Linked DNA regions of Callithrix jacchus. The protein of the gene in region 2 interacts with the protein of the main gene of each other region in a pairwise test. Links are inferred from orthologs where the notes say so. Each region holds a gene or a part of one and is shown on either strand. Other genes may lie near its edges.

The links.
Region 1: the proteins of ZNF410 (region 2) and SERTAD1 interact in binary tests that used the Homo sapiens proteins (3 or more experiments, as listed by UniProt). The two-hybrid records come from large-scale screens. The link is inferred for Callithrix jacchus from reciprocal best matches to the Homo sapiens genes ZNF410 and SERTAD1.

The regions. Positions count from the first base shown.
Region 1 is NC_133523.1:35,982,731-35,986,885, forward strand, and holds the start of SERTAD1 (SERTA domain-containing protein 1), read right to left. Parts: upstream 2,930-4,155; 5' UTR 2,804-2,929; intron 213-2,803; coding exon 1-212. UniProt on the Homo sapiens protein: Acts at E2F-responsive promoters as coregulator to integrate signals provided by PHD- and/or bromodomain-containing transcription factors. Stimulates E2F1/TFDP1 transcriptional activity.
Region 2 is NC_133509.1:108,853,326-108,856,960, forward strand, and holds part of ZNF410 (zinc finger protein 410), read left to right. Parts: intron 1-1,519; coding exon 1,520-1,645; intron 1,646-2,445; exon of another isoform or gene 2,446-2,607; coding exon 2,608-2,748; intron 2,749-3,034; exon of another isoform or gene 3,035-3,239; intron 3,240-3,635. UniProt on the Homo sapiens protein: Transcription factor that binds to the sequence motif 5'-CATCCCATAATA-3', and is specifically required to silence expression of fetal hemoglobin in adult erythroid cells.

The DNA.
Region 1 (4,155 bases), on a different chromosome or scaffold from region 2:
ACCACCAGTACCAGGTGCCGCAGGTCTGGCTCACCCTGCTGCAGGCTGTGGTGGAGTTTGAGCACCGAGAGGTCAAAGAGGGAGCTAGAGGCTGCAGCCGGAGGTGCCTGTGCCACCGCTGCGTGGCCAGGATCCAGCCACAAGGCGTCGACTGCCAGAGATTCCTTCTCTTCCTCCTCCTCCCGCTTCCGCTTCAGACCCTTGCTCAGCATCTGCAGAGAGCAGGGAGTTAAAGTCAAGTTATGGAAAACAAATGTCAAGTTCAAAGCCTGGATCTGACAGCTGCTGCAGGTAGGATCTTTGGCAAGTCACTTAGCGTCTCTGTGCCTAGCTTTTGTTAGGGAACTTTAAAGATATAGGCAATTTTTATTTAATTGTAGATGTATATTTATAGACTTTTTTTTTTTTTAAGAGATGGAGTCTCGCTCTGTTGCCCAGGCTGGAGTGCAATGGCATGATCTCAGCTCACTGCAACCTCTGCCTCACGGGTTTAAGTGATTCTCGTTCCTCAGCCTCCCGAGTAGCTATAAGCCACCACGCCCGGCTAATTTTTGTATTTTTGGTAGAGATGGGGTTTCACCATGTTGCCCAGGCTGGTCTCAAACTCCTGACCTCAAGTGATCTGCCTACCTCGACCTCCAAAGTGCTCGTATTACAGGCGTGAGCCACCGCACCCAGCCTATAGACTTCTTACATTTTGTATTTTATATTTTATAAAGTATATTTATGGACTTCTTTATTTAAAAAAATAGAGATGGTGTCTCACTTTGTTGCCCAGGCTGGTCTCAAACTCCTAGCCTGAAGCAATCCTCCTGCGTCAGTCAATAAGTACTCTTTTTTCTTTCTCCTTTTATTTTTTGTAGAGACAGGGTCTCACTATGTTGCTCAGGGTGTCAAACTCCTTGCCTCAAGCCATCCTCCCGCCTCAGCCTCCCAAAGTGCTGGTATTATAACTGAGCTGCCACACCTTTTTTTTTTTTTTTTTTGAGAGACAATTTTTCTCTCTTGTTGTCCAGGCTGGAGTACAATGGCGAGATCTCGGCTCGCTGCAATCTCTGCCTCCCAAGTTCAAACAATTCTCTTGCCTCAGCCTCCCCAGTAGCTGGGATTACAGGCACCCGCCACCACGCCCACTAATTTTTGTATTTTTAGTAGAGACAGGGTTTTACTATGTTGACCAGGCTGGTCTCAAACTCCTGACCGCGCTCACGATCTGCCTGTCTAGGCCTCCCAAAGTGCTGGGATTACAGGTGTGAGCCACCTCGCCCAGACCACCAATAAATACTCTTAATGATAACATTATAATGTCTTCAGTGAACCATGTGGAATGGCCAATATTCACCTTTCCCCTACAAAAGCAGCTGTTTCACATAGTTTATTATAAGTAATTATGTATAAATTATAAATACTAAACTAGTTTCACATAGTTTAATATTTATTGTCTACTATATATTTCAAACAGTAAATAAATAAGCAAACACAGGAAATGTACAGAGAATTACAGGAAGACACTAAAAGGTCCTGGAGACCTTTCAGATGATCAGAGGAGGCTCCCGAGAGGAGGTGACATTTGAATGGAGCCCTCAGGCCAGAGAAGTCAGCCAAGGGAGACCCCCTGGGAAAAGGATTCTGGGAGGAGGGATCAACAAAAAAAGGCAACCAAAGACCCAGAGGCTGGATGGGCTTGAACTGAAAGAGACTAGCATGCCTGGCATACAGAGAGTGACATGGTAGGAGACCAGATTGGGGAGCAGCAGAGGAAACGGGCACCAGCCAGGTCACAGAAAGCCACATATGCAGAAGTAGGGAGTCTGTATTTTATCATGAGCGTGGTGGGCGGTCATTAAAGGAATTTGAGCAGGGAGGGGAGTGGTGTTGTGAGCTGACTGGGTTTCCGTCCCCCCATGGCTGCTTTGAGGAAGACTGGGGGGAGGGGAGGAAGAGGGGGAATCTGAGAACCACTGGTAAGCTGTACTCGGTTGGGACGGACGATGGTGATGGCCTGGAGGAGGAGCTGGTAGTGTATGGAAGGAAGTCGGTCGAGTCACGATTTATTTGGGAGGCAGAATCGACGGGGCTTGCCGGGAAATCGTGCTGGGCACTGGGGTCAGTCACTGAGATAAGTTTGAGGACCCACTCTCTTCTTGGAGTGGCTGGGGGTGGGGTTGGAGTTTTGGACCCCTGGCGCTACCTACCTTTTTGGGCCAGTAAGGGTCCAGGGTCCAGTTCCCGGGACCCTGCCTAGCAAGATCTTAAGAGTGGACCATCACACTAGTCAAAACTGGGTCTCCGTCCCCTTCCCCGCGGTCCCAGGAGTGAGGAACCGCAGGAATTCCGCCCCCGACCCCCGACTCCGCCCCCGGGTCCCGGCGCCCCCTAGCGGTGCCCAGGCCGGCTTTCCCCCGGGGATTCTGGCCCCTCTGACCCCAGGACTCCTACTGCCCCGCTTCCCGGCTGTGATTCCTGCCGGCCTCCCGGGGCCGTGAGAGCCGGGACCCCCGGCGGGCTGTTCTGTGCGCCCGGCCTCCGCTCGCTTCCGGCAGTGGAGGCGGCTCCTCCCGAAGCGGCGGCGGCGGCGGGGGCGGGTGAGTCACGCAGCCGGAGCCAGGGAGCCGGCGCCTCCGCCCCCTTCTCGGGCTGCGGCGTGATTCACCCGGCCCGGCCGGGGCAGACGGCACATAGAGGCCCGTGTGTCTCGATCCCGGTCAGCCCAGACGGGCACCTGTCGGACCCAGGGATCGAACTTCGTAAAGGACCCGGCCGCTGGCACCCCTTCTCTCCCCAGGCCCCTTCATTTACATACCCTGCTCACTAGCGGCCAATCAGAACAAAGAGGTAGCCATCCACAGCCAATCAGGAAACGGCGGCAGCAGCATCGCTTGCTCACTCTCCTCCAGCAACCGGCACCTGGATCGCAAGACGCAGTTCTGACTCGAGCGCACGACTCCAGACTCCTAACTAACCTTAGCGACGCCCACTCTCGTGGCTGCCCCTCCCTTCGCCCCAGGGATTGGCTCTGGACGGTGATGGGCGGAGCCTGTAGGGGGCGGATTCTGAAGGAGGGGAGGTTGGCTTCAGGGCGCATGCCCGGGCAGCTGCTCTAGTGAAGGGTGAAAAGAGGTGGCTTTTTACCCTGGGGAATGGTGGCGGGTGGGCCTTTTGCCTCTCAAAGTACGAGCCCCTCACAACTACCCATGCACCTGCCAAATATGGCAATTAAGGTTCTTACACATCACGCCCCGACAGGGGTCTACACTACAGATATGCCCGGGTTCAAATTCCGACTCCGGATTCACCACTCAGTAGATTTGTGACCTTGGAAAACTGATCGACCTCTCCAAGCTACACGAAGTTAAATAAGGATAGTCTTGCCTACCTCTTCACAGCAAAGTTTAAATAGGATGGTATCTATAAGAGCACAGTCTAGAGATAGGGTCCTGACAGGCTCTAAAGCATCATCTCAAAGGTTATTTGCTAACTGCAAAGGATGAAATCCTTTTATGATGTAGCCCTCATAATCTTAATCATGTAATGAAATTCTGCATTACCAATGGCGGGACACTGGGTGCCACCTACCATAATGCATTAGGATTAGGAAGTACATTAATAAGAATTAGGACATACCCTGTGGAGTCTCCCAGTTCACTGCATAAGCAGAATCTCCCCAGGCCTTTAGATTCAGCCTCCAGTTTACTGGCAATAGAGAGGAACAAATTAAACACAGTCAGACAAATCCAGAATGTGGGACACTCTACAGCACGACTGGGCTATTTTGCCAGAAATTCAATGTCAAGAAAAGATAAAAAATGGTTTGGGGCTGAGTGTGGTGGCTCACGCCTATAATTCCAGCACTTTGGGAGGCCAAGGCAGATGGATCACCTGAGGTCAAGAGTTGGAAACCCGCCTGGGCAACATGGCGAAACCCCGTCTCTACTAAAACTACAAAATAAATCAGCTGGTCGTGGTGGCATGTGCCTGTAATCCCAGCTACTCAGGAGTATAAGGCAGGAGAACCACTTGAACCCAGGAGGCAGAGGTAGCAGTTAGCCAAGATTGTGCCACTGCACTCTAGTCTGGATGACAGAGTGAGACTCTGTCTCACACACACAAAAAAAGGATTCGGGTGGGGGAATATCCCAGAATAAAATATAGTAT
Region 2 (3,635 bases):
GGAATCCCCAATGTTTATTGTTCCCATCATCATGTCCATATGTACCCAGTGTTTAACTCCTACTTATAAGTGAGAACATGTATTTGATTTTCCATTTCTTTGTTAATTTGCTTAGGATAATGGCCTCCAGCTGCATTCATGTTGCTGCAGAGGATATGATTTTGTTCTTTTTTATGGCTGCATAGTATTCCATGGTGTGTATGTACCACATTTTCCTTATCTCATTTACCATTGATGGGCACCTGGTTTGATTCCATATCTTTGCTGTTGTGAATAGTGCTGCAGTGAACTTGTGAGTGTAGGTGTCTTTTTGGTAGAGCAGTTTATTTTCCTTTGGGTAGATAGCCAGTAATGGGATTGCTGGTTCAAATGGTGATTCAATTTTTAGTTTTAAAGCTTTGTAATATTCTACCCTGTTTCTATTATATAGCCTTTTTTCTTCTGTGCAGGACTATTGCAATATCTATAGCTTTTTAGTCAGTCTCTGTGATTAATATTTAGGTTGTTTCCAGTATTTAGCCATTTTAAAATAATGTTGCAGTGATGAATAACCTTGTGCATAGATTATTTCACATTTTGTCACTATAGTTTGGGACATATTCCTAGAAGTGGGATTCCTAGGTCAAAGGGCAAGTGCATCTACATTTTTTCTAGATATTGTCAGATTCCCCCAAAGAGGTTTTTGTATTTTGCATTCCCAGCAAAATACAATCAGCAACGAAGATTGCTGTACCATGTGTTTATCAATTGTGAATTTGTTCCTAGCATTTAGAAATGGAGAGATTCTACTTAAAAATCCTATTTCCAGTGTGTTTAAAACACAAACAAACAGAGAATCTGGCAGTGGTACGCCTTAATCTAAATATGGCAACAGTTGGCTAGAACGGAATAATAGCTGCCCCTTTTCCGGGAAAGGTACTCTCTAGGTTACTGTGACCCCCACTTGGCCATTTTACTTACTTTTGCTGCCTATCAGTCCCCTACAGACATGAGATTTTGACCCCTGCTTCTGAGTATGATTGTCTGGGTAGGTAGAATAGAAACAGAGAATTTAGAACTTGAAGACATAGAAGACAGTTTAGATCATGTTAGAAGAGCCACCAGTGTGAATGTTGATGACCCTAAAGAGTAGTGCCAGGGAGTATGACAAGGGGATATTAGGAACCCAGGATTGGAGTCCTCGAGGAAAGTACATGTCCTAGAGGTCCCTGGAACACTATCTGAAAAAGGAGGCATATTTTTTTGGCTGTCATGATCCTATACCACAGAGATTTTGTGAAGACAGCAGTAGAGCGGGTCTGGAAAGGTCCAGGGGCTAGAAGCAGGGAGTGTGCTAAATCCCACCCAGTGTACTCTTCCTGCCTTCCCCCATGTACTGAGAGACTGGGAAAGGTGGGGAATGGGAAAAGGAGCAGCTGTTTATGTTCAGTTTAACATTCTCTGAGTTTCTTCATCTAGGTCTTGAGTCCATTCTCTTCTGTTGTTTTGGCTTCCCTGTTTAACCTGCTCCCTGTTTCAGGAGAGAAGCCTCATCAGTGCCAAGTCTGTGGGAAGACCTTCTCTCAGAGTGGAAGCAGGAATGTGCATATGAGAAAGCATCACTTGCAGCTGGGAGCAGCTGGGAGTCAAGAGCAGGAGCCACCTGGTGAGGAGGGTGGGTGTAGTAGAGGGCTATCCCTTCTAGGGTTCAAAGAGCCAAATCACTGTCCTGCCTGGTTATCTGGAAATTTTTTGATTCTGTTTTGGGTAGATAGACCTGGTCTCATTTGATGGGCTGATGGTTTCCAAACATAGCTATACAGTAGAATCATCTGCAAGCTTTTAAAATTTATATATTTTTTTGTTGCTTGTCCCCCCCCACCAATAAAACAAAGCAATCTCATAAATGAGATAATTTGCAAGATCCCAGAATCTGTAGTTTTAAAAGTTCCCGTAGTAAGTTTGATGGTAACTAGTGCTGATCCATGAACGAGGATTTCAGTAACACAGTGACAAAAGATTTCTGTATGGCAAAAGTTTAAGCTTTTTTTTTTTAGATGGAGTCTTACTCTGTCACCCAGGCTAGAGTGCAGTGGCGCCATCTCAGCTTACTGCAACCTCCGCCTTCTGGGTTCAGGATTCTTCTGCCTCAGCCTCCTGAGTAGCTGGGATTACAGCCAGGTGCCACCACACCTGGCTAATTTTTGTATTTTCGTAGAGATGGGGTTTCATCATGTTGGCCAGGCTGGAAGCATTTTCTGCTTACCAGTTGTGACTACCTTTTTGCCCTGTCTGAAATTTGACAACTTTTTAATTCTTATTCCTTTGCCATTAATTGTCTTATTCCTTTCCTTAATTGTTCCAAATATTCCTTTCTAAAGGTCCGCCTATCCTGTCTCATATACTAATTCTTCAGATGCTGAAAACAAGCAAGGGTCATTAGGCTTATTACTCTTTCCCTTCTAGGTTTATTCTTGTTTCTCGAAAGTAGGTGAAATAAGAGGTGGCATCCAATACATAGGTTAACTTCTAGTAATGAAAGAGAAGTCCAGCTTCCCGTTGAAAGAAAATGAGGACCAGGCACAGCCTTGACTGCTGTATGTCTCTCACAACCTATTCTCTGTGCAGCTGAGCCACTAATGGGCAGTAGTTTGCTTGAAGAGGCTTCAGTACCCAGTAAAAACCTGGTGTCTATGAATTCCCAGCCCAGCCTTGGTGGAGAGTCCTTGAACCTACCAAATACCAATTCTATCCTGGGAGTTGATGATGGTAAGACTTCCACCTCTCCTTTATTTGGGAAAAATGGGCTGCAACTAGGGGCTAAGGAATGGGGTGTCTCCACAGTGGAGGTTTAAATCTCATTTCTTATGAATAGCTGTGGTATGATTGAGTAGCATTTGTGTTCTTATTCTCTGGGGTGGATAAGTGAGTCTGTTTAAAAAAATTTTTTTTCATTGAAGATAATATAACAAAGAATAAAAAGAAAAAATCTTAAGAAAAAATTATTCATAATCCTAGCATCCTAGCACAACTATTTCTATCTTTCCTATTGCAGTTATGGAAGAACTTAACTTTTAAAACATTTAAACAGAACATAACCAGGTTTTACAGAGGAGATATAAAGCAATTTCTCCATACCTTCAAAAGCCATATCTTCTGGAGAAAAGAAAGGGCTCTCTAGGAAACACTTGCTCCTCTCTGGTATAGAAATTTCACCCAAGTTACACAGGCCAGGCCCTCTTCTCTGAAAAACTTAACAGGTGAGGTCAGCATGCATTTATTCAGTGCCTACTGTGTGCCTGGCACCATGGGAAAGACAAAAGTAGAAGCTAGGGACCTTAATATCCAGTTGAGAAGTGAAAGCTTACATATATATGGGAAACAACATTGAGTACATAAAAGGCAGTATATAGTGAACATTAAATTATATGGTACAGTATAAAAGAGTTATATCAGCTAGAAAACCCCTAGAAGAAACTTTTGATTTTCTGAGGGCTAAGTGGTATATCCTTAAAATATTTCTAGATTTTCATGGTGATCCCACTGATGAACATTTAGTAACTGTGAGATCTTGTGTTTTGCTCTTCATATCATTTTCAGTCAGTGAGTGCTATCAGTGTCATTGGTTCATACCATATTCAGTCAGTGAGTGCTGT